2 linked regions of the Canis lupus familiaris genome follow. The protein of the gene in region 1 binds, or shares a complex with, the protein of each later gene. Links are inferred from orthologs where the notes say so. Each region holds a gene or a part of one and is shown in the gene's direction. Other genes may lie near its edges. The genes, in order: GLI1 and SUFU.

The links.
Region 2: the proteins of GLI1 (region 1) and SUFU are in contact, whole or in part, in a crystal structure (PDB 4KMD), measured with the Homo sapiens proteins. The link is inferred for Canis lupus familiaris from reciprocal best matches to the Homo sapiens genes GLI1 and SUFU. Residues at the interface, in NP_005260.1 of Homo sapiens: Gly119, Ser120, Tyr121, Gly122, His123, Leu124, Ser125, Ile126, Gly127; in NP_057253.2 of Homo sapiens: Leu144, Tyr147, Asn153, Thr154, Phe155, Gly158, Asp159, His160, Val161, Ser162, Trp163, His164, Gln212, Asn265, Leu266, Ser267, Gly268, Val269, Ser270, Ala271, Glu376, Leu380, Lys398.

What each region holds. Positions count from the first base shown.
Region 1 is NC_049231.1:1,913,089-1,925,675, forward strand, and holds the start of GLI1 (zinc finger protein GLI1), read left to right. Parts: upstream 1-5,945; 5' UTR 5,946-6,291; intron 6,292-9,516; 5' UTR 9,517-9,543; coding exon 9,544-9,640; intron 9,641-9,873; coding exon 9,874-9,966; intron 9,967-10,436; coding exon 10,437-10,632; intron 10,633-10,898; coding exon 10,899-11,043; intron 11,044-11,386; coding exon 11,387-11,476; intron 11,477-11,566; coding exon 11,567-11,704; intron 11,705-12,024; coding exon 12,025-12,174; intron 12,175-12,587. Other genes in the region: INHBE (inhibin beta E chain), read left to right, coding at 2,007-2,304, 2,525-3,282. UniProt on the Homo sapiens protein: Acts as a transcriptional activator. Binds to the DNA consensus sequence 5'-GACCACCCA-3'. Regulates the transcription of specific genes during normal development.
Region 2 is NC_049249.1:15,183,483-15,195,573, forward strand, and holds the start of SUFU (suppressor of fused homolog), read left to right. Parts: upstream 1-223; 5' UTR 224-404; coding exon 405-586; intron 587-4,749; coding exon 4,750-4,884; intron 4,885-12,091. UniProt on the Homo sapiens protein: Negative regulator in the hedgehog/smoothened signaling pathway. Down-regulates GLI1-mediated transactivation of target genes. Down-regulates GLI2-mediated transactivation of target genes. Part of a corepressor complex that acts on DNA-bound GLI1.

The sequences.
Region 1 (12,587 bases):
GAAAACTGGGGGCACCTGATAGAGGGTAGGGGAGAAGTGGGGTCAGCGACTCTTGCAGCCACTTTGTGCTGCTTCCCTGGACTCTTGTGTCTGGCGCCAACAGGTAAGCCCTCTGAGACTCCACCATGGGCAGAAACTTCTTTGCAGTTCGATGTCCCAGACTCCAGGGGTAGAGGGCGGTCATTCACCAGCCTCCACCAACAGAGAGGTGGCGGAGAGCTGGGGGAGAGAACTGGGCAGAGGGGCTTGAATGTTTCCCCCCCACCGGGGGAGAAATGTAGGGAGAACAGGAGGGTCTAAAACCTCCTTGTCCCCCCCCCCCCGCCCCCACCGCCACCACACCGTTTCTGGGAAGGGCCTGACACCCATCACCAAGCTCCACTGCCACGTGTCAAAGTGACGAGGTCTGAAACCAAAGGTAGCAGCGGCGTGGGGCCTGACGACGGCTCTGCGCCCCGGTGCTGGCGGAGGGGGCGCACGGGGACTGGCGTCTGCTCCGCTGGGAGAGGCTGGGCCTGGGGACCGAGGGGCTGGCGGGCTGCGTCTCGGCTCCCGGCAGCTCGGCGGCGGCGCCCAGCGGCCCGACACCGCCACGTGGCGGACACCAGCGGTACTGAGGCCCCGCCCCGGGGCGCGCCCTTCCCGTCCCGCTCCCAGGTGCCCCATCTGCTGGGCTCTCGACAGCCCCCACTGGGCTAAGCGGGGTGGTGGGGGGGAATAAAATGCAGGTGGGGCACAGTTCCAAATCACACGCCCTTCCTTCTAGCTTCTTGAAGAAACCCGGGGCATCCGGAGAGAGGCTAGCATGAAGTCTACCGTCGGAAGTGCAAGGAGGAGGGACCATGGCCCTCCCGTTAGCCAGTGAGGAGTGTGAAGAGGGCCAGATCGGAACTAAGGTCGCCCGCACTCGCGCTTGCTCTTCAAAGTTCTTAAACCTCCCATTTCCTGCCCCCTCTCACAGAGGCCTCGAACCACTTCTAGGATGCCCCGATTTAGGTAACTCTCACAGTCCTCTTACCTTAAAGAGACCCAGCCCAAATCCCATGCCCTACTGCCAGCCTTGATGGACTCTGCCCTGCTGTCAGATTGCATCACCACCACCCCTACCTCTTTGGGTTTCCCCAGACATGCATGTAACATGCACCCCACCCCCCCACCATGCTCCAGCCCTCCTCCACGTTGTGCTCCAGTCCAACTGGACTCTGGGCAGCCAGCACAGGCAGGGTCAGGAGGTGACTTCCGTGCCCCCTGGCACTGCCACCTTGGCCTGGGCAGGAGGACTCCATTCCTCTCCCCCCTGTCCTAGCCCTATTGCTAGGAATAGAGAGACCAGAGTTCTGCTTCTGGCCCAGAGACCCTGGGGAGATAACCAGTGGAACTCACAGCTGCCTCAGAAGCTGCTGCAGCAGAAGTGGCTGCGTAAGCTAGAAGGACTAGAGGTATGGGGGGAGATCGCCCTCCCCACCTTGCTCCTATGCGTCCCTCCCCCGAGCCCCAGACCTTGGGGACTGAGCATGTGAAATCATTCTCTTTCTTGCATCATGTGTGTCCACACTGTCCCCCCACCCCCATACCCCTACCTCAAACTCAGTGACCAGGGCCAGATGGTGAAACCCGAGGTGGGGGGGGCCTCCACCCCCTGCAGGGACCTGATGGGCAGCACAGGTGGCCAATCCAGGGGCTCAGAGGGTAGGTCTGCTAGCTGACCACTAAGTGAGGGTGCCCCAGCTTACGGCTCTAAAGAGGCCCCACTCAGGAGCCAGCCGTGAGCTGTGAGGGCCAAACTGGCAGATGCGCTATATGCAGCCACCCATAAGACCATCCACATGCAGCCTTCCTGAGTCCCAGGCACTAGAAGACAGGTGGCTCTACCCTTGGCCAAGGGTAGGTGTGGCACTGCTGTCTGCTGCTGCTGTGCCCTCATTGGCTTCCACGCAATCATATCAACAGAAGGAGCAACTGCCATCCGAGGCTCCTGACCCAACCCAGGGCCACTCTCCAGGAGCATGGGGCTCCCTGATGTCCAGCCCCAGCTGGTGCTGCTCTGGGCACTGGTGTGGGCACAGGGGGCAGGGTCTGGATGTCCCAGCTGCGGAGGCCCCACGCTGGCACCCCAAGCAGAACGAGCTCTGGTCCTGGAGCTAGCCAAGCAGCAGATCCTGGAGGGGCTGCACCTGACCAGTCGTCCCAGGATAACTCACCCTCCCCCCCAGGCAGCGCTGGCCAGAGCCCTCCGCAGACTACAGCCCCGAAGCATGCCTATAGCAGATGGAGACGAGGTCATCAGCTTTGCAACGGTGGCAGGTGGGTAAGGGAGAGGCGGGTGAGGGAGGCCTCCCCGACAGGAAAGGCAGGCGAGCAGGGTGTGGGAGGAGGAGAAGTTGGGGCAGGGACCGGCTGAGCAGGGCGGGGGACACCAGGCGGTCCCCGATTCTTGCAGACGAGCGAGTGGCGGGCTGGGCCTGCAGGGCCTGGAGCAGCGCCACGCCGCTCACGTGCTTGCCCCTTGCCGTCTCCCGGGCAGACTCCACCTCGGCCTGCAGCTCTGTGCTCACCTTCGACCTGTCCACGGCTCAGCCCCACCAGCTGTCCCGGGCTCGCCTCTGGCTGCACGCGCGGCCCGCGCCGCCCGGCTCGCTGTACCTGAGGGTCTTCGGGCGGCGCCCGGGCGGTGGGCAGCGGGGGGCGCGCACCCTCCTGGCCGAGCAGCACCTGCCGGCTGCGGGCTGGCACGCCCTCGCTCTGCCCTCTGGTGGCCTGAGGGCTGAGGAGTCCGCCGTCCTGCAACTCCAGCTGAAGTGCAGGCTCCTGCCAGGCAACCGCACCTCTGCCCAGCAGCTGGGGCGGCGGCTCCTGGACACGGCCGGGGACCGGCGGCCCTTCCTGCAGCTCCAGATCTGGCCCAGGGAGCCCGGAGCGGGCCGGGCCAGGAGGAGGACCCCCACCTGCGAGCCCGAGACCCCCTTGTGCTGCAGGCGAGACCACTATGTCGACTTCCAGGAGCTGGGATGGCGGGACTGGATCCTGCAGCCCGAGGGGTACCAGCTAAACTACTGCAGTGGACAGTGCCCCCCGCACCTGGCTGGCAGCCCCGGCATCGCCGCCTCCTTCCATTCGGCCGTCTTCAGCCTCCTCAAGGCCAACAACCCTTGGCCCTTGGGCACGTCCTGCTGTGTTCCTACGGCCCGGAGGCCTCTCTCTCTCCTCTACCTGGACCGTGATGGCAATGTGGTCAAGACAGATGTGCCAGACATGGTGGTGGAGGCCTGTGGCTGCAGCTAGCACGAGGACCTGGGCATTTGGAGTGAAAAGATCAGTTGGGGGTTCCCAGGCAAAGGGCATCTGTGGCGGGCCACATTGCATTCCTGACCCACACCCCTACCCAACGGCAGGGTGGCAGTGTGACCTGGGTGACCCAAATGGGCACTTGTTCATCCAGAATCTTGCCTGTTCCAGGCTGGCTGGTGTGTGGGGAGATGGGAAAAGTGTGTTCTCTGAAAGAGTCTGCCCAGGAAGCATGATTTCCTTCCCTAAGCCCTAAGGGAAGGTAGCAGAGGTGAGGGAGGGATGGAGGGAGGGCAGAAGGCAGAGAAAATTTACCTAGTCTCTCCCAAGAAGAGAAAGTCCTCGAGTAAGGGAAGCAGGCCTCGGACAGGGGAACCAGGCTGGCCAAGGGCAGAAGCAGCGGAAGAGCTTTAAGGGAGGGCCAAGAAGGAGATGGGCAGGGGGCTAAGAGGAGGTGTCTGGGAGGGCCCCAGAAATGGGAGCCAGGAGAGAGGAGTGCTGGGCCTAAGAAGTTTCCTGGTTTTCCCCAGTGGGGGACAGGACCCACCGAGGAGACAAATGTTTATACTTACCCAATAAAAATGAGGGGAAAAATCAATCAACAAATTTGAGTCATAAAGAGGGGCTGCGGTGATGACCCAGGGGGGTGGTTTTCAAGGTAAGGTCTGGGGACCCCTGGGAGGTCCCTGAGACCCTTTTCAGGAGTGTTCGCAAGTCAAAACTATTTTCATAATAATATTAAGATGCCTTTTTTATTTTCATTATCTCAAAAGTACACAGTGGAGTTTTCCAGAGGCTACGTGGCATGTGATTACATCATCTTTCTGACATCATTGTTAATGGGATGTGTGCTTGTGTATTCTTGTGTCACAAACTTTTTTCGGTTTTAATTTCTAATATAGTAAATTGATATGAAACACATAAACAAAAAATCAATAAATTTTAAGAGTGTAAAGGCAGGGTGCCTGGGTGGCTCAGTGGGTAGAGCAGATGACTCTTAACCTTAGGGTTGCGAGTCCAAGCCCCATGTTGGGCAGGGAGGCTACTTAAAAAAAAAAAAAAAAAAAGGAGTGTAAAGGGGTCTTAAAGTCAAAATTTTGGAGAATCACTAATCTGGAGACCTAGGTGAGGAGGAAAAAGTAGCGTGTTCTAAAAGAGCTTCTCTGTGGGCGCCTGGATGGCTCAGCGCTTGAGCATCTGCCTTCAGGTCAGGTCGTGATCCAAGGGGTCCCGGATCGAGTCCTGCATTGGGCTCCCCACATGGAGCCTGCTTCTCCCTCCACCTATGTGTGTGTGTGTGTGTCTCTCGTGAATAAATAAATAAAATCTTTTTTAAAAAAATAAATAAGATCTTTTTTAAAAATTTAAAAAAAAGAGCTTCTCTGAAAGAAAGGGCAGACGGCTGAGGCAGGAGAATGTGTAGGGCTCCTTCTCCCGTTGACCGCTGGTCTTGCCTGACCTCTGGGTATAACTGGTGTCTAGGCCAAAGTCATATGGGGGAGGGACAGTGAAACAGGACTCTGTATCTGTTCCCCCACAATTACAACCTATATTTGCAGGGCCTCAGACCTCTTCCCACTTTCACCTTTTCCCCTTGACCCTCAGTCTTAATAGCTGACCTACTAACTCTCCAGGCCCAAGAAGGTGCTTCTTGGAAGCAGAGCTAAGATGTGGGAGGTCTATCTGAGGGGTGACAGGAAAGGAAAGGACTCCTTTTCCTCACCACGTTTTTTCCCCTTTCTCATAAAGAAAGGTCACAGAGACTAAAATAGCTGCCCCTTCCCCTGCATCCAGTCACTATGGCAACACAGATCCGAAGGGACAGGGCACTCCCCTCTCAGACGCTGCCGTTCCGCACTGGCAGCCTCTTCTAGGGTGCCCTTCTGTTTCTTTGGGCTGGTACACCCCTCCCTGGGCTCCTAACTGGGGTTTGGTGGGGGGACCTAGGAAGCCTCCTACTCCTGCAGCTCCCCCAGTCTTCTCCGCCTGCAGCCTGCGGGAGTGTGCCATGTGCCAGAGAGGCCAGCAGAGGGAGCAGACAGCCTGGAAGAGCAGAGAGCCGGCGGCCTCGAGGTGCGGAGGTGCCCGCAGTCTCCAGAACTTAGAGACGCAGGACACCGGGCGGGGGGGTGGGGGGTGGGGGGTGTCTCCGCGTTACAGCGCTTGAGTGCCTCCCCAGGGTTCCTTAGTGTGAACCGCACACTCTGCACCCGGAGCCTCAGCCGCTGCCCTCTCTTCGATGCCCTATAGACCCTTCACTTCTAAGCCAACTCTGTTCCAGTCCTGTTTGCACCAAACCCCAAATCTGTCCTAACCCCTTCATGTTCCCCTGAAAGAGGGAGGTCAACAGATAACCTGCAGGATGACGCAATACTCGCAGCACCAACCAAAGTCGGCGGCGCTACCCTCCAATATTATCTTTCTTGGATGAACTTTTTCATCGCCCCCCACCTCCCAATGTATTTGTTAGTTTTTTTCTGACTGTGGTTGGGGTGGGGGTGCCGCTCCGTGGGCAGCCGATCCCAGGATCCATGCCGGGATTTATTGCCCACCAGCAGCAGCGTGTTCAGCGGGGGGGGGGGGGGGGGGGGGAGGCAGTATAGGGTCCCTCCAGGGAGGGGGAGGATCCTGGGGGTCCTGGGGGTGCAATAAGCCCGGCACCCCCTCTCTAGCTTTTGCTACCCCGCCTCATTCTCCAGAGCGGCAAGAGGGAGGGAAGTGGAAGGGAGGTGAGAGGCGAGCGGGAAGAGCGGCGGCGCGCCAGCTGCCTGAGCGAGAAAAAGTTTCTGCAAAAGGGAAAAAAAAGTTTGCGCTTCTCGCGGGTGGTCCCGGCTCGCGGCCCGGCGGGCTGGGCCGGCGGGAGGGCTGGCGGCCAGGTTAGGAGGGGGTGGGGGTGGCATGAGGCTGCGCTGCCGTGGCCCTGTGCGCCCCCCCTCCCCACCGCACACCCCCCAGCCCACACTCCAGCCCTGGACCGCGCATCCCGAGCCCGGCGCCCAGAAGGAGGTGAGAAGGGGGGCGGGCGGGGGACCACCTGGGAACCGTAGGGGAGGGGGCGAGGGGATGCCCTGCTCGCGACGGGCTCTGGCCAGCCCAGAGGGAGACCCGGGGCACCCAGGCACAAAGGGGGTGGGAGAGCCCGGGCCGAGATCTAGAAAGTTTGAAGGACTTTTTTCATTTGTATCTCCCTTTCTCTGTATCTTTTTTCTTCTCCTCCTCCTTCTCCTCCTTCTCCTTCTCCTTCTCCTTCCTCTGACAGCCTCTGTGTCTCTGTCCCAGGCACCCGGGGATCTCTTTGTCTGTCTCCGCCTCTCCTATGTATTAGGGACAGGTTACTTCCAGGAGGTTGGCATGAAGAGGCAGGAGGGACGGCTAGCTGGAGGTCTGCGTGGTAGGGACGGAAGTCCAGGTGTGTCGGGGCCGCAGGAGACGTCAGGGTTTCTGAAAGGAGGGAACAGCCACGGAGAGAGCCCTGGGTGGGGTGGAGACGGGTGTGTGCAAGGGGACAAACCAGTGGGGGATGGCTCGGCTTGAACCCCTGACCTGTCTTATGACAGATGCGTTTGCTGGTGCATGTGTTCTCGGGAACGGAGCGTCTTCTGGATTAGGAAGGGGGCTGGAGGGGCCGGCGTCTTGTTTAGGCCCTAGAAGGCTCCTCAAGGAATTAGGACTCCTGAGTCCCCAGAGCCGTGGTCAGGGTGCCGAGGCGGAGCTGAGGAGACCCTGGCTTGACCCTCTGACCTCAGGACCACCGGGACAGCTGGGCCAGCCGCAGGGAGACCCCTACTGGGACTGGGCGGGACCACTGGCCACTGCCTGCCTAAGTATCCCGGTTGGACCCCCCTCCCCAACGGGAGCTGGGGGCCGAGGCCCCTCCTCTGCCTCAGACCACCCTGCCTGCCCTTGCTCCCCGCTCTGAAGCCTCTTTCAGGCCCGGTGACCCCGAAACAATCCGCCCTGGGCCGCTGGCTTTGGGGACAGGATTAGGAAAGGGGATCCCATAGTGACTAGGGACTTAAGGTTTTGGGGGCTGGAGAACTGGGGGTCTTCATAGGATAGATCTTCACTGTCCAGTGGGAGGGGAAGGCGGGGCGATTTCCCCGGGGAGTTGTAAGGGCCGGAATTAGGGTGGTTTTCCCTATGGGGGCGGGGTCCAGAGACACCCCCCCAGTTATCTCCCCGGCATCCCTAGCCAGGCAGTACAGACCCCGCCCTTGACGTCACTAAGGGGTTCCCGGGGGTCTGGAGGGGTTAACCCTTGGGAAGCCGGCTGCGAAAATCAAAACCCAAGGTGTCCTGACCCCTCCCTCCTCCCATACACACCTTGTTTTATTTACCCAGGCACCTTCTTTCCCTATAGTTTCTGGATTCTTCTTTCCTTTCCACCCAGCCACGGGGACCCCCCCCCCCCTCCAACAGTGCCCGCCGCCCCCCCGGGCGCCGCTGCCAGCTTTCTGGCCGCACAGAGGGGAGGAGGGAAGAATGCGTCCCGCCCCCCGCCCCCCCGCCCCCTCCGCCGCGGCTCGCTCCACTGGGCTCCCGGGCGGGCGGGGGAAGCGGAGCCGTCTGCAGCCAGAGCCTGCGGCGGCGACTTGGGTGGGCCGAGGAGGCACGGGGGCGGGGAAGGCGGGACCCGGAGGAGGGGGCGGGGCCTACTCCTGGGAGTTGGGGAGCGGGGGTGCGAGGGGGCCTCCGGAAAGTAGGGAGACGCCGAGGGTGATTCAGGGCTCCATCAGGGCGACCCTCAGCCCCCTGCCCCGGCCTGCGCTCTCATCCACACCCCAGCAAAAGACGTAACTGAAGCTGGAAACGTTGGCGAAATTTTCCTGTCGCCAGGGCGAAGGGGAGACGTGGGTGGGCTGTGGCACGCGTGGGCGAGCGGGGATGTCGCCCCGTTTAGTCGCGGCCCCTCGGCGGCGGGCAGTGGCGCGGGAAGATGCCCGAGTAGGCACGTTTGGGGGAGTCTCCTTAGTATTGGGGGGTCGTCTGCGGGCCCCGCCTCCTTCCCCCGGTGAGTCATAGAGGAAGGAGGCGGGAGAAGTGTCCCCCTATCCAGCTGCCAGCCAGCTGTGCCCCCCCCCCCCCTCCCACACACACAAAGTGCCAAGGTCGAGTTGGGAGGTCTTGGATGCGGGGCCCGGCCCTGCGCTGGGAAAGGAGGAGTTAGGAAGGGTACGGTCCCGGCTGCGGGGCTCGGGCTGCGTCGTGGGGTCCGGGTTCCGCTCCCCATCTCACCCCTCCCTTACCCTAAATCCCAGCATCCCGGGATCACCCACCGCGCCGGCCGGGCCCGCTCCCGAGCGCTCTCCACCCTACCCCGCCCCACCCCACCCTCGGCCCCGGGAGGCGGGAAAACCCGGGCTGGAGCCGAAGCCGGAGTTTGAGGAGGGAAGCGCCGGCCCAACCCTCTCCTCCCGCAGCTCTTCTCCCCTGGATGGTGCCTGTGCCTTCCCTTCTCCCAGGGCCTTTCTCTTTCTGGCCCTTTCCTGCTCCCCCCCAAACAGAGCAAGTTAGGGGGGCGCCCGAATTCATTCTGCCCCAGGACAACACCAGTTTCCATTCTTTGTACCCAACAGACCCCGGAGGCTCCCCTCAGAAACCTTAGCCCCTTCTCTACAGTTTTCTGCCTTAAAGAGAGAAGGGCCGCTCCTCCGTGCTCCCTCCCGGCCCACCGGCCTCCCGGCGCGGCCCGAGGCGAGAGCTCCCTCTGCTGGGTGCCGCCGAGATTGGAGACGGGCGCTCCGGGGCAGGAACGGAGGACGGCAAAGGGGTTCCCCAGGGGTTCCCCATCCCACCCCTCAAGGCCGGCCCCGGGTCAGAGCCAGAAGATGTGGAGGGAGGGCCCAGGCATAAAATCACCTGAGGCTCATACAGGCTCATTAGGTTCATAACCCTCCCCCTTGCGCGCGCGCGCGCGCGCGCACACACACACACACACACACACACACGCGCGCGCGCGCGCACGCGCGCACGCGCGCGCGCGCACACGTGCACTTAGACCACTCAGGCAAAGATGGCACTCCGTTCCCACAAGGATCCCCAGGACTGCCTCTGCTTCTTTGGGGCTCTTTTCCTCCCCCTGCCCCTGGCTGAGGGATGCTCATTTCACATTGATTCTCCATGGCAGGTGTCTTAGAGGGACCCTGCCCAGGGTTCTAGATCTTAGTTATCTGACCTTCCTTATCTCCCTCCTGCCTCTGTAACTTGCAGATCTCCCTTCCCTTCCTACAGTGTCCCCACACTCTCCTCTGAGACACCATGTTCAACTCGATGACCCCACCGCCAGTCAGTAGCTATGGAGAGCCCTGCTGTCTCCGGCCCCTCCCCAGTCAGGCCCCCAGCATGGGGACAGAAGGTCAGTGCAAATACCAACCTCCAGGTCCTGAGGACTGGCAGCGGCTCTCTCAACCAGCCCCAGGCATCCCTCTTCCATCTCCCACCCCACACAGGCTTCTAATCCACAAGAAGACTCAAGCCTCCATGTCATACAGGCTTGGGATAGAGGATGGAGTCTCTTCTGGGGTGTGAAGGTGAGGCCTTGTGTGTCCCCCATTCCCATTCCCCATGCTGGCTGTCTCTCTTTTCTAGGACTGCCTGGTCTGCCCTTCTGCCACCAGGCCAACCTCATGTCCGGCCCCCACAGTTATGGGCCAGCCAGAGAGACCACCAGCTGCACTGAGGGTGAGGCTTCAACATCTCCTCCCTTTCTGCCCCTCTGGTGCTTGCTTTTATTTTTTAATTTTTTATTATTTTTAAAGATTTTATTTACTTATTCATGAGAGACAGAGAGAGAGAAAGAGAGAGGCAGAGACACAGGCAGAGGGAGAAGCAGGCTCCTTGCAGGGACCGGGATCCAGTCCCCAGGACCAGGCCTAAGGCAGGGGCTCAACCGCTGAGCCACCCAGGCATCCCTTGGCACTTGCTTTTAAAGAGAAAGTGGGTGGGACAAGGGGTGGGGGATCTAACTTGGAGGAGGAAATGCTTGGAGATTGGAGCAAGGGGTCTGGGCATGATGCGGAGGTCACAGATGGGGTCAGTAGGGCAAAACAGAGTCACGTGTCATGTTTTTTGTTGAGAGTCAAGACCCATGGGTTGAGTGCGTGAAGACATGCCCCATTTACCACAGCTGTCTCCCCTGTTTCCTGCTCCAGCCCCACTCTTTCCTCCTCCCCGAAGTGCAGTCAAGTTGACCAAGAAGCGGGCACTCTCCATCTCACCTCTGTCAGACGCCAGCCTGGACCTGCAGACAGTTATCCGCACCTCACCCAGCTCCCTTGTGGCCTTCATCAACTCACGCTGTGCATCTCCCGGGGGCTCCTACGGTCACCTCTCCATCGGCACCATGAGGTGCAGAGAGCCTTGGGCTAAGAGGCCCCTAAAGACCCTACCAAACCCCGTTAAAAGCCTCAAGCCCTCCAAAGCACCTGGCCCTATTTGAATCCTTATCGTTTCAAAGGTGTTGAAGCCCTCCTCAGTGCTTCCCCGAGACTGCCTCAGCCACTTCCCATACGTCTTTCAGACACACTCCAAAATAGCCCAAGAACTCCTGAAACTTTCTGAGATGATGGTCCTAAGTAACTGCCTCTCCTCCTCCTCCTCCTCCTCCTCCTCAGCCCATCTCTGGGATTCCCACCCCAGATGAATCACCAAAAAGGGACCTCGCCTTCCTTCGGGGTCCAGCCCTGTGGTCCCCATGACCCTTCTCAGGGTGGGATGATGCCGCATCCTCAGTCCCGGGGACCCCTCCCGACTTGCCAGGTGAGAGTCCTCATACTGCTCCCCAATTTCCCTCAGCTCAGGGTGGGTGGGCGGCGGGCCTTATGGGAAGGGGTGAAGGAAGGACAGGGCAGATAAAAGTTTTCAGTAGCACAAAAATAAAGGGGTATGGTTGCTGGGGTTCACTCCTTGGGGCTGAATCAGACTCTCCAGATGAGATCCCACCTTTTGCCCATCCCGGTGCTGTCTGAGGAGGAAGTCTCTTCCAAACCCAAGGGTTCCAGCTGCTTGGGTGGGGGCACTCAGGGCAGGAAGACCTGGCTGGGCTCCCTCTTCCTTCTGCTCACTTCTACCTTCATCACCCTCACCTCTTCCCCTGGGGAAGCTAAAGTCTGAGCTGGACCTGCTGGTTAGCAAGTGCCCAGAGGAGCCCTTGGAGGGTGATATGTCCAGCCCCAACTCCACAGGCACACAGGTAAGTGAGGGGAGGGTGACTTTAACTCTGAAACCTGAGCTAAACCGAAGCTGTCACCCAAGTGACCTAGGATTGCCTCTTCTGCCCTAGGATCCCCTGCTGGGGATGCTGGATGGGCGGGAGGACCTGGAGAGAGAGGGGAAGCCTGAGCCCGAATCTGCCTATGAGACGGTCTGCCGCTGGGCCGGCTGTAGCCAGGAATTTGACTCCCAGGAGCAGCTGGTGCACGTGAGCCCCAGGGGGTAACAGGAATGCTGGCTGGATCTTGTAGGACATTCTGGTGGGACACTGTGGGGTTAGGCTGAGGGCCGGAGTTCCAAGGGTACTGAGGCCAGAGGTTGAGTGGTCAGTCAGGTAGGCAGAAACTCAGGAGCTGCAGCTTTGTTTTAGAAACCTGGAAGGACCGGAATGTTCTTTCTGCCGCTTCTTCCCCCATGAGGGGGAGCCTTGCAGGCATAAGGCGGGCTGGGGAGGTCAAGGGGTCAAGGTGTCTTTTGGGCCTTGGGGGCAGAAGGGAGCCTCAGAGAGCCTCTGTATCTCCTCCTCAGCACATCAACAGTGAGCACATCCATGGGGAGCGGAAGGAGTTCGTGTGTCACTGGGGGGGCTGCTCCAGGGAGCTGAGGCCTTTCAAGGCTCAGTACATGCTGGTGGTGCACATGCGCAGGCATACGGGCGAGAAGCCGCACAAGTGTACGGTGAGGCACCCCCTTCCCAAGCTCGGGCTCCCTCCCTACACTGGTGCTCCCCACCCAGGCAGAGCTCCTAGGACTCCTGGATCTTAGGAACTCTTGCCTCAGGGAACCAATATTCAGATTTGTATTTTTTGACTGTGTTTGTAGAAAGATGAACATGTGGATACTGGGTATGAGAACACTCTCTTAGACCTAAACGCTCTTCTTCCCTTGCTTTTAAAAGAAATTAAAACACTTTTGTGGGCCCCCTGAAGTGCTCTGGGCCCTAGGCACTGTGTCTGCTCCTCTGCCTAATGGAGAGAGGCTCAGTGTCCCAGAATGACCCCATCCAAAGAAAGCGTAAGGTTCTCCAGCAGGGAGATGTGCTCTGCCTTGACCCCAGCTGCTCACTGCCATCCCCACGTCCCCGCAGCCCC
Region 2 (12,091 bases), on another chromosome or scaffold:
GAGGATGCCTCAACATTTCTATTTAAATCTGGGTTCCTCCTAACACTAGGGGGAGGCCAAGAGCCTTGGGACCCCCCCCACACACGGAGAGGGAGGCGGGACCTATTGCCAAGTCACGCCTTCCCCATCTGTGACTGGCACAGACACTAGCCAATGGATACCGGGATAGGGCGCGCCGGCGCCCCGCCCCCCCGAGCGCTCCGCGGCCCCCGAGGCACCCTCCGGCCGTCTCTGCGGCGGCTACGGCCTGGGCAGACGGTGCGCCGTGCGCAGGCGCGGAGCCTAGACCTCGCTGCAGCCCCCATCGCCTGGGGGAGTCGCACCCACGGAGTCCGCCTGCTGGCGCGTCAGAGCTCTCCCCCTCGTCCACCCTCCCCGGTCCCCCCAGCGCCCTACGCGCCCGGATGGCGGAGCTGCGGCCTAGCGGCGCCCCCGGCCCCGCCGCGCCCCCGGCCCCTGGCCCTAGTGCACCCCCGGCCTTCGCCTCGCTCTTCCCCCCGGGACTGCACGCCATCTACGGAGAGTGCCGTCGCCTTTACCCTGACCAGCCGAACCCGCTCCAGGTTACCGCTATCGTCAAGTACTGGTATGCCCTGGGCCGCGGGGAGACGGACGACGGCGGGCAGGGAAGGGTTAGAACGCCCGGGGCGAAGTCATCTGCGGGGGAGGAGGAGGTGGAGAAGAATGGTTAAAGCACTTGGAAAGAGGGCGTCCTGCTGCGAGGCAAGGAGTTAAGGCTGAAGTTGGGAACGGGGACAAAGGGGTTAACGGAGCCTCTGGGTAGAGGAGGGTTAACGAGGGGGGAGGATGAAGGGTTAACTGGGATTAGGAGAATAGAATGAATTGGGGGTGTGTGTGTAGGAGCGGGGGGGGGGGCCGATAGGAGAAAGGGAACTGTAAACGTGGTGAAAGGAGGGGGCGCCTGTAGGGGGTCATTAGTGGGCTAAGGGAAGCCGGGGGCGGGGGTGGGGGAAGAAGGGCGGCTGAAGTGGGATGGGGGAGGCGAGGCGGGGCCTGGGGAGCACAAGAGAGGGCTTTGGAGGAGTGCGGCTGGCGAGCTCAGAGGGCTTGAGACTGCACAGGGTACGGTGGATTTGGGGATCCCCGCTCTCCCATAGGTTAGGAGGGAGGCAAGTTGCGAGAGTCGTGCTTGTGAAGAGAGGAAGAGGAGGTCTCCTTTTAAGATACCTTCCCCATGAGCTCAGACGTCAGTCATATCGGTGCAGTGCTTTTGCGTTTGAAGTTTCACGGAGCAACTTTTCTTGATAAACTTTCTGCTTACTCGGCACAGTTCTCTTTCTCCAAGCAGAGCTTCCTTTGGCTCTGCACCCGCTTTGCCTAGGACATTGGCTAGAACAGAGGCACGGTCAGGGAGATAGATCCATGGTTTGGCTCAGGATTGCCGGGGACCCCAGTAAATGATGAAGACCTGAGACACGGAGCAAAGAAGTGCAGCCAGATGTTTAGAGGGGCTTCCTGGCCCCAAGCTTCAGGATTTAGACCACAGTCTCTCAGGGAAGCTGAGAGTAACCCTCAAGTGGCTCTGTTCAGGATCATAGAAGGCCTGCCCTTGGGGTAGGAATGGTCCTTTCTTGTTTCCCATTCCTGTTTGCAACCTATCTCTTTTCACAGCCACTGGGCAAAACAGGTGTTAGAGGGACTCTGACAAAGAGCCTGTCTTCATGGTCTTTCTGGACCATATTGACTGAGGAATTGGTAGAATTTGTCCAGAACTGCATTCATGCAGGCACTGTATTAAATAATCCCCTTCACTGAGTCCTGAAAGACTGTTCAGAAAAAAGCTTGGGATGTGCCAAGGGGGCAGGTAGACCCAAAGGGGGAGGTTGAGAGAGTGGATGTCTTTGCTGGTTACCTCTTCTTTTAGGATGGAAGCTTCTCCAGGATAACCTCTTAACTTCCTCTGGAGATGGCAGAAACTAGACTGTCTGGGGCTGAGGCCAGTTGCCTGTGTCAGTGGGACAATATGAAGAGACAGGGCCTGGGGACCAGCCACCTCCTATGAGAGGGTCATGTCTGGTAGCCAGAGGAGATGTGGCCAGTGGTACAGTTCTCTCTTCAGCAGGCAAACTGTTCTTTGGTTGAGAGGAGTTTTTGAAGAGAGCTTCTGAGTGAAAAGCAGCTCTTGATAACTTAATCACCCATTCTCATTTCTTGCCTATATTTAAGTATGTGTTGTGATGAACTGTATTGGATTGTGTCATGGGGAAAGAGGGCCTGGTTCTGCGATGCTGTTGGTTCAGGTCTCATTTGAATGAACAGAGAAATCCCTACACAGACTTAGGCAACTGTTTTTATGTCACCCAGTTGGCCATGAAGGATAGAATTGTGTGCAGAAGATATTAAAGCACATGCAAAGGACTAAGACTGATTTGGGCAAGCTTGTTAACCAGGCAGGACTTATCTTCAGAAATGGGCCAACATGTAATGACTAATAAAGAGTACTTTGTGAGATTAGAAATGCTGGCCAGATGCAGAAAAATATAAGAAGGAGCAGCTGAGCAACTAGTTCTTTCTAAGATTTGGAAGGGTTTGCATAATTAAGATTCTGAAATTAATTCATTAATATACATCACACTTGGGATGCCACAAGGCCTCGTTAGCAGTTTGACTGACCAAGGCTACCTGGGTCTGGCTGTGGCCCACGGTCCCTTGAGATTCCTTTTCTTGTGACAGAAGGTTGGTTCTTTGGCTAGTGGACCTTGGCCGGCAGGGACATCCTGGCTGAAAGCTGATACTTTAGTGGGCAGGGAACAGAAACACAGAGGCAGAGCTTGTACCCAGGAGCCACTGCAGTCCTACAGCTGTCATGTGGAATGAAGTTAGGTGTTCAAGGAAGTAAGTTCAAGGAAGAGCATCAAGGGATACTCTGGGTCCTTGGATAACATATTTTTCTAAGTGCAAGATATGATTATTTTCTACATAATCATCTGTTTCCCATCAGGTGTCTGAGTAAGTAGAACAGAACACTGTGCTTGGGGACAAGGTTAATTTTGTCTGACTCTTGGTTATTCCTTACAGTTATAGTTTTAAGATAAAGCCTCGATCCTTGATGCAGTATCTCCTGAGAGAGGGCTGCAGAGGTGTGACAGATGGAGTATGGAAGTGTGGATACAGTTTTGCCACTTGTTGCTGGATGCACTTAGGCTGAAAGGGGCAAGACTGGGAATTTGCAGCAGGAAACTGGAGCAGATCTGGAGTTTGTAGTCACTCCCATCTGTTCTGGGCTTCTGCAGCTATCATGTGGTTCTTCCAGAGATAGCTACCCCTATGTTTCCTCCTTCCCCCAGCAAACTTTTCTGTATTCAACTAGTTGTGGAAACATTCAAATGATTTGGTCAAATCAGAGTTAAGGAAGGACATGGGGATTTGTCTCTTTTCCTAATCCACTCAGTTGAGTTTCTGAGCTATTTGTAGCAACTTTCTTACAAGATCTATAAATAACTTAGCATTTCCTAGCAGAGAATAAGGATTTCTATAAGGGCAAATAATATCCTGGCAAAAGAGGATGAAACCAGACTTACTGGTTTTAAATAGTATTTGAATTGCATGGTACTGGAACTCTTGCTGGGATCACATGTAGCATGTCTTTTATTTTCACATGTAGCATGTCTTTTATTTGGTTATTAGTGTTCCTGCAGCATACGATGCCAATTGCAAAGTGTACTCCATCAACGTCCTAGGGGCAGGCAAAGTTTTTGCAGTCTGTGGAATAGTCAGATGTCCGAGGCAGCTCACATGCAGAGTGTTTGTGGGCTAAATGCAGACTTCCTTCCGCTGATGGTTTCCATTTAGGCTGTTTCTCAAGTCTATTAAGTTTCCCTATCCATTCTGAAGAAAAGCAGGACCTTTTTTTTTTTTTTTTTTAAGAGAGAGCATTAATTGCTCTACTAAAGGAAACCCTTATGGAATTAAATCCTCAGAGTGAGCTAATGACTGAGTCTCTTCCTCAGCTTCTTGTCTGTTAGAATTATGGGGGAAGTTTAATGTGGTCCTCAGAGGCCCCAAATCATTTAATATTCTAGCCCTACCTTTGAGGCGACAGTCTCCTGGGATCATCTTCTGAATGCAGGCACTCTCACGGGTCAGTCTGGCCTGCTGCAATTCTCTGTGCAGGGCTGAGCTAGCCTAAGTGTGGCCTTTGTCACTTGCATGAGAAAAGACCAGCTTTGGTCTGTGGGGTACAGGCTGGGGTCTGGAGCCATTGAGTTTGTTTAGAACAAACTGTAATTAACATAGGGCACAATATAGTCTTTCAGGAATTAGCTGTCTAAGAGGCAGGAGTGGAGCCGAGCCTCTGCTTCCAGGAACAATGCCCATTGGGGATGCTCAGGATGATCTTTCAACAGAAGCTGATTGATTGACTGATGCACCTCTTCCCTTGAAGTTTGTTATATTTACAGGCACCATGGAAGAGAGATAATCCCTGCCAATCCCATTTGGGATTGGTAATTTGAATTAGGAGGAAGCAAAAGGGACAACCACCTAGTCTGTTTTATTTTTTAAAAGAGGTCCTGCATGTTGGGGATAGAAGGGAGCGTCTTGTGCTTATGGAATTGGGCAGCTTCTAGCTACCTGTCCCTTGGTCTTATCCCAGAGATGTGGCCTCCTTTTAGTTATCTTTCATTCCAGGTTCTTCCAGGATGGGGTCTTTAGATTTGTAAGGCATAATGTCTTAGCTTCATGTTGTGTACTTTCAGGCTCTCACTGACTGTGTTTTGTCTTTTGCAGGTTGGGTGGCCCAGACCCCTTGGACTATGTTAGCATGTACAGGAATGTGGGGAGCCCTTCTGCCAATATCCCTGAACACTGGCACTACATCAGCTTTGGCCTGAGTGATCTCTATGGTGACAGCAGAGTCCATGAGTAAGTGTATGACACTTGCCCATCCTCCACCTGTCTGTTCTTTAGCCTTGAGTCTTATTTCTGGGGTTTCCCTGAGCAGGGGTGATAATGTCATAGTTCTCTGAGGTTGGCACTTCTGAGATGGAACCTTTGGGTTTCTACCTTCTGCTTATATCTACTTGTGCCAGAGTGATCCAAGTCAGCACCTGACCTCTGCTCATCTGGTACAGGACAGTGTTGATGATGAGCAAGTGTTCCAAAACCATTAGGTTTTTCTAAGCTTGCTCTGGTGTTTGAGCTCAGAGGACAGGCAGTGTAGCTCTGATGCAGAATTTGATTTGTTGTCTCTAAGTCTACTTGTTTTTTTCCCCCTCTAGCTTATAATAAAAAATTTTAAACATAAGGCAGAGCTGGAAGAATTTTATAGCCAACAAGCAAATATCCACTACCTAGATTCTGCAATTAACATTTTACTTTACTTGCTTTATCATGAATATATCCATCTCTCTCCCTCTATTGATTGTACCTACTTCCTCATCACCTGCAGTTGTCTGTGCTCAGATTATCCATAGCACATTTTTTATTCTAGTTTGTCTCCCATTTTCTCCCTGTATACTTCTATTTTTTTAATATTTTATTTATTCATGAGAGACAGAGAGAGAGAGAGGCAGAGACATAGGCAAAGAGAGAAGCAGGCTCCATGCAGGGAACCCAAGTTGTTTGTTTGTTTTAAGATTTTTTTATTTACATGTGTGTGAGAGAGAGCACAAGTCAGTGAGGAGCAGAGGGAATGGGAGAAGCAGACTCCCCACTGAGCAGGGAGTGGATGTGGGGCTTGGTCCCAGGACCCTGAGGTCATGACCTGAGCCTAAGGCAGATGCTTATCTGACTGAACCACCCAGGTGCCCCTTCCCTGTATACTTCTAAATTCTACCTGCCCTCCTATGTACACCTATAGCCACTGAATTTAAACAAATTTTAATACTAAGTTAAACATCAACTTAGTATTAAGTCAGCTGAAACAATAACAGCAATACTAATAATGAAAGCTAATATTTATTAAGCATTGATTATGAGCCAGGTATTATTCTAGTCACTTTGCATGTATAAACTGATTTTATTTTCACCACAACCATATAATACTGGTAGACTCCTATCTGCCCCATTTTACAGGTGAGGAAACTGAAATACAAAGAGTCTATAACTTGCTTAAGGTCACACAGCTTGGATGGGTGGAACCAGGATTTTTTTTTTCTTTTTTTTTTTCTTTTATTTATTTATGATAGTCACACAGAGAGAAAGAGAGAGGCAGAGACACAGGCAGAGGGAGAAGCAGGCTCCATGCACCAGGAGCCCGACATGGGACTCGATCCGGGTCTCCAGGATCACGCCCTGGGCCAAAGGCAGGCGCTAAACCGCTGCGCCACCCAGGGATCCCCAGGATTTTTTTTTAAAAGGTTTTATTAATTTATTCATGAGAGACACACAGAGTGAGGCAGAGACGTAGGCAGAGGAAGAAGCAGGCTCCCTGCGGGAAACATCTTTTTTTTTTTTTTTAAAGATTTTATTTATTTATTCATGAGAGACACAGAGAGAGAGCGAGAGAGGCAGAGACACAGGCAGAGGGAGAAGCAGGCTCCATGCAGGGAGCCTGACGTGGGACTCGATCCCGGATCTCCGGGATCACACCCTAGACTGCAGGTGGGGTTAAACCGCTGTGCCCCTGGGGCTGCCCCCCTGCGGGAAACTTGATGTGGGACTCAATCCCAGTATCCTGGGATTACATTGTGAGCCAAAGGCAGATGATCAACCACTGAGCCACCCAGGGGTCCCTGGAGCCAGGATTCTAATAAGGCATTCTGGCTCCAGAGCTCAGACTTTTAACGACTGTGCTTTTAGACAATTATATCATGTCCTCGAGCAAGTTACTATCTAGAATTTAAAAAAAAAAAAAAAAAAGATTTTTTTTTCTTCTACAGTCTTTTGTGAGAAGAGTTCTTTTTCTTCAACTTAAATATTGTCTTCCTCCCCCCTCATTAGCATGGTTAATCAAGAACTGATTCTATTTCTGTACCATATCCTCTCCTGCTTTTTGCTTTCTGTCTTGTCTTTTTTCCCTTCTATATTATCTTTTGGGTATCTTGGTGATGACTACTTAGCATGTGTAGGTTGAAAGACTAGCAGGGCTCTTCCTGCCCTGCCTCAGCAGCATAAGGGGATGATTCTGGGGGTGATGATGGTATCATGATAAAGAAGATGATAATCATCAGGGTTTTTTTCCCCTTTGTTTTAGTTCTTAGCATCAACTTTATCATCGCATCAAATACTTTACAATCTTACCAGGTTCTTTTGTTATCTTCGTTTTATAGAGGAGAAAACTGAGTCACTTGAGGGGCAAATGAATTGCCTAAAATAAAAGAACTAGGATTCACTTGAACTGTCTTGAGTCCAAAGTCTGGGCTTTTAACCACTAGAGTCTTCTACCTCTCTGATCACAGGTCCAACCCAACTTCCTCTTCTCTCTCATCAAGCTGGGGGCCCAGGCCTCATCTCCTTACTAATCACATGTTGAGAGCAATGCTTGGACCTGCCTAGATAGCCTTCCAAACTAATCCATTGCAATGTCAGAAGGCTTTGGCAACAGTGAATTAATCTTGCCTGAGTAGGGACCCTGCATTACAGTGTTAATAATGGAGATAGAATAGCAAACAGATGTGGGCAATAAAGGCACTATGCTGGACTTTAATGTATATTTTTAATAAGGAAAAAAAAAAAAGAACCTGCAGAGGATATTTAGTGTAGTTAGCCTGTACCTTTTTGTTGACAGATTTATTCCAGTCAAAAAATATCATTTCCTATGTGGCTTAAAGATTCTTACACTATACTTGCATATGAGGGATGGGTCCAATCCCAAAGTGACATGAAGAATATAATTGAGAAAGCCTCATATTTCAGAGGGAGCAACCTCTGAATTTTTTCTTAAAGATTCTATTTATTTGAGAGAGAGAGAGCAGGCACAAGTGCGGGGGAGAGGCAGAGAGGAGAGGGATAAACAGACCACCTCGAGCGGGGAGTGCAATGTATGGTCCATCCCAGGACCGCAGATCATGACCTGAGCTGAAGGTAGACACTTAACCAACTGAGCCACCCAGGGACTCTGCAACCTTTGAATTTTAAAGAGGGCCTTCCTTAATGTTTTTTCACATTTGAAAGTACCCCCTTTCTGTATGATAAAGCACTGTGATGTTCATATGTCATTTATGACATTAGACCTCAGTTTGGACCGTACTTTACTGCTGGAATCTAGTGTTTTCTGGTATTATGTCCTACCCCTAGAAGGACATGGAAGGAGTGTTCTTGGATATTTATCCAGTTCTGGTCTGTGTTGCAGAAGTCATAAGTACATTTGTAAGTAGTCTTGTGCTGGTGTGACTGATCTCTTCTCAATCCTGGTAAGTTTCTTGAAGAAAAGTTTGCTTTTATGAACATTTCATGTGGCAAGGCCTCTTTGAAACAGATTTAAAGATTCTTATTTAATTTAGTGCTTGAAGCTGAGATCAGAAAGGTGAGTGTTCTACCATCCAGTTTAAATGGATGATAGAACACTTTTAAAGAAGTGTTGAACTGAAATTATGGCAGATGAATTTCTGGTAGTGTTCTTCCACTGTCTTATTGCATTCAGTAAAAAAAAAGCGGGGGGGGGGGACCAAGCTCATTTATTCAGCATATGTTCCTCAAGTACCCATTTTGTCCCAGATGCAGAACATCTTAATATATGTCTTGGGGATAAAATGCCAAGACATAATTCCTACCTCAAGGAGTTCATGTTCTAGATGGGAGATAAACATAAAGAGAAGGTTATAGTACTGGGAAATAAATGCTGCAATCCGTGGATGAACATGACTTGGGAGCAGGATGAGGGATATGACTTTTAGTCAGGCTGTTGGATCTGAAGAAGCTCCAGGGAGGAGCTGAAGTTTGATAGGTGTCTGCAAGCTGAAGGCCAGTAAGAAGGAAGCGGGCCAGGGGAGATCACAGCCTGATACCCTAGGGCACCAGCACTCACTTCCAGGGTTGAGGGGACTTTGACAATCTTCTGGCCCAATGTTTCCCAAACTTCTAGTGCCATCTTCATAATTTTTGCCATGTAGTAGGTCATCTAGTTTATGTTCTTTTTTTTCTTTTTGAAGATTTATTTATTTATTCATGATAGACACAGAGAGAGAGAGAGAGGCAGAGACACAGGCAGAGGGAGAAGCAGGCTCCATGCCAGGAGCCCGACATGGGACTTGATCCCGGGACTCCAGGATCACACCCTGGGCCAAAGGCAGGCGCCAAACTGCTGAGCCACCCAGGGATCCCCTAGTTTATGTTCTTTTAAAACTAACCCTCCTTTTGTGGTACCTGGGTTACTCAGTTGGAGGAACATGGGACTTTTGATCTTGGGGTCATGAGTTAAAGCCCCATGAGTTAAAGCCCCACATTGGGTGTAGAGCTCACTAAAAAATTAATTAATTAACTCCCCTTTTTGAAACTGATATATATTTTTAAAAGTTAAGTCATTATCACAAATGGAAACCAGTATTGTTTGCCATAATTTAAAGGTAACTATGGAAATGAATGCAGTGATAACAAAGCAATGTTATTAAATTGTAGCTTAATACTGTGGCCTGTCACAGAAGATTCTAAATCTGAGGCCAGATTTCTCTTTGTTCAAGAGATTAGCAAGTATGTTAGAGGTGTTAAAAAGATACGCTAACACCAAATAGAACCTGACACTAGGCATGATTAGAAAAATTGAAAGTGAATTGAAAAGGGAACTTTTTTTTAAGTATCATTCAGGGGCACCTGGGTGGCTTAGTTGGCTAAGTGTCCAACTCTTGATTTTGGCTCAGGTTATGATCTCAAGGTTGTGTATTGGAGCCCTGCTTCAGGCTCCCACTGGGCATGGAGTGTGCTTACAATTCTTTCTTTCAGGGCACCTGGGTGGCTCAGTCATTTAAGCATCTGTCTTTAACTAAGGTCATGATCCCAGGGTCCTGGGATTGTGCCCCACATCAGGCTCCCTGTTCAGTAGGGAACCTGCTTCTCCCTCTGCCCACCCTATCATGTTCTCTCTCACTGTCTCTCAAATAAAATAAATAAAAATAAAAAGTATGATTCAGTACTATTATTGTTAAAAAATGGGAAACATTGATCTAGTTCATGTCCCTTAATTGTACGTGGAGGAAAGTACAGTAACCCCCTGAAGGCCATACAGCAAGCTAATGAGAGTGGCAGGATCTCCTAGAGTCTCTACTATTCTATGCTCTATTCTATGCTCTCCCTCTCTCTCTTTTTTAAATATTTTATTTATTTATTTGACAGAGAGAGAGAACGTGAGCACAAGCAGGAGAATGGCAGGCAGAAGGAGAAGCAGGCTCCTCGCTGAGCAGGGAGTCAAGGCGAAGCTTAATCCCAGGACCCCAGGATCATGCCCTGAGCCAAAGGCAGCTGCTTAACTGCCTGAGCCACCCATGTGCTCCTATGCTCTTTCCATGATTGGGGAGAAAGGAATGTATGGACATTTTTTTGTCTTTAGCATAATAATATAAGCAAACTTTTTCCCCCCAGGTTTTACTGTATTCCAGGTTATATATAAACTATATAAACTCTTTTCATAAAGGTATCTTATGTTATCCCCATGGTAATTCTATGACACAAGGAATTCTTATTATGTCTCACTTATAGATGCAGAAATTTAAGTTTAACTTACTGCATAGGTAATAAATGAGAAGCCAGGTCTAGTGATCCCACAGCCAGTATTCTAAACCATTGTGCTCTACTTACGGTCTTTACATTTTGATCAGTCACCATTTATTCAGTGCCTCCAGTATGCTTCCTCCCTTTAAGATTTCTCCTTCTCACAGATAGCCAAGGATAGGTTAAGCAGAAGTCCAGGGGTCCCTTGTCTCTAGGGCCAAGGGTCTCTTGCCCCTAGCAGGCTTGCTTTGGGAGTAGGAGAGGACGCCTACCCTGGTACTCCTAAAAGACGTGAAGAGCAACCTGGTTGCCTGAGTCCTGGAATGGCCAGTTCCATCTAGGTTCTTTCCGTATTCAAATTCACCAAAGGAAATAGGACAAGAGAGTACTTGTTTGGATTAAAAGGCTCTTAAGAGGCTCTTTCTGAAGTTGGAGAGATGGAACAAGTTCTAGTCTGGGCAGCCACAGGAGAGAATGGAGTGCTTTTCTAGGAACCCTAAGGCTACCCTCAACTGACTTCAGTGGCAGAGATTGTCCTGTTGCTCTTCCCCTGGACTTGGGAGGTGTGAGACAGCTGATCTTCAGTCGCCAAGAGCCTGTTGGAAGCCTCCAGCTCTGGCTATTCCCCTTGTGGCCAGCAGCTGTGGACTGGAATGTGGAGATTTGCAGGGTTGTAGAAGATGTGGCTTCAGCACTACTCTCTATGAGGATTTCTGGCCGCCCTTTGTACTGCCGACAGCCCTAGCTGGATCTGAACTACAGGGCGCAAAAGGCTGGCTAGTCGCAGAGCGTGTTTGTGATCTCAGGCCGACTTTCCTGATGGGATTCCACTGGGCAAGTCATCTTCCATACACGTCAGCTGGTTCCAAAGACAGCTTTTGTGTGGTGTTGGCTCGCAGGCTGGTAGCTGCACAGGATAGAGCCCGCACCTCACCTCTGCCACCCGTGGCTGATCTGGGCTCTGCCCCACAAATGGTGGCTTCTTGGTGGATGTGTCTGTGGAGTTTGGAGTTGTTCTTGCCCTCCTTGGGGCTGGAACTGCTGCTGACTAGCTTTCTGTGTCTGTCTCGACTGGGTTGGTAGAGAACCTCCTTTTCCCTTTAGGTTCCTCTAAATTGGGCTCTGTAACTCAATAAATTGAGTTATTTATTAAAACACTGGATACAGATTAACTTTTCCACTTGTTTTGTGTGGCCTTGTTCCCCTGCAGTTGGGAAATGCTAATTTTCCCTTCTTAAAGCTTCGTTTGCAGGAACTTTTTAATGTGTCGTTTCATCCTCTGGGGTTTCCAGTGGAAATCCTACCTTTGCCGTAACACACTTGTCCTGGGAGCACTGTCCTGATCCCTTCTCTGGTTGGGCCTTTGCTTTCTTCCCAGAACTCTCATGAAGCTGACAACCAGAATACCTCCATAAACCACCCACAGATGACAGGCTGGTCCTCCCCGTTGCTGGCACAGCAGGCTGAGGAAGTGCTCTGCAGTCTC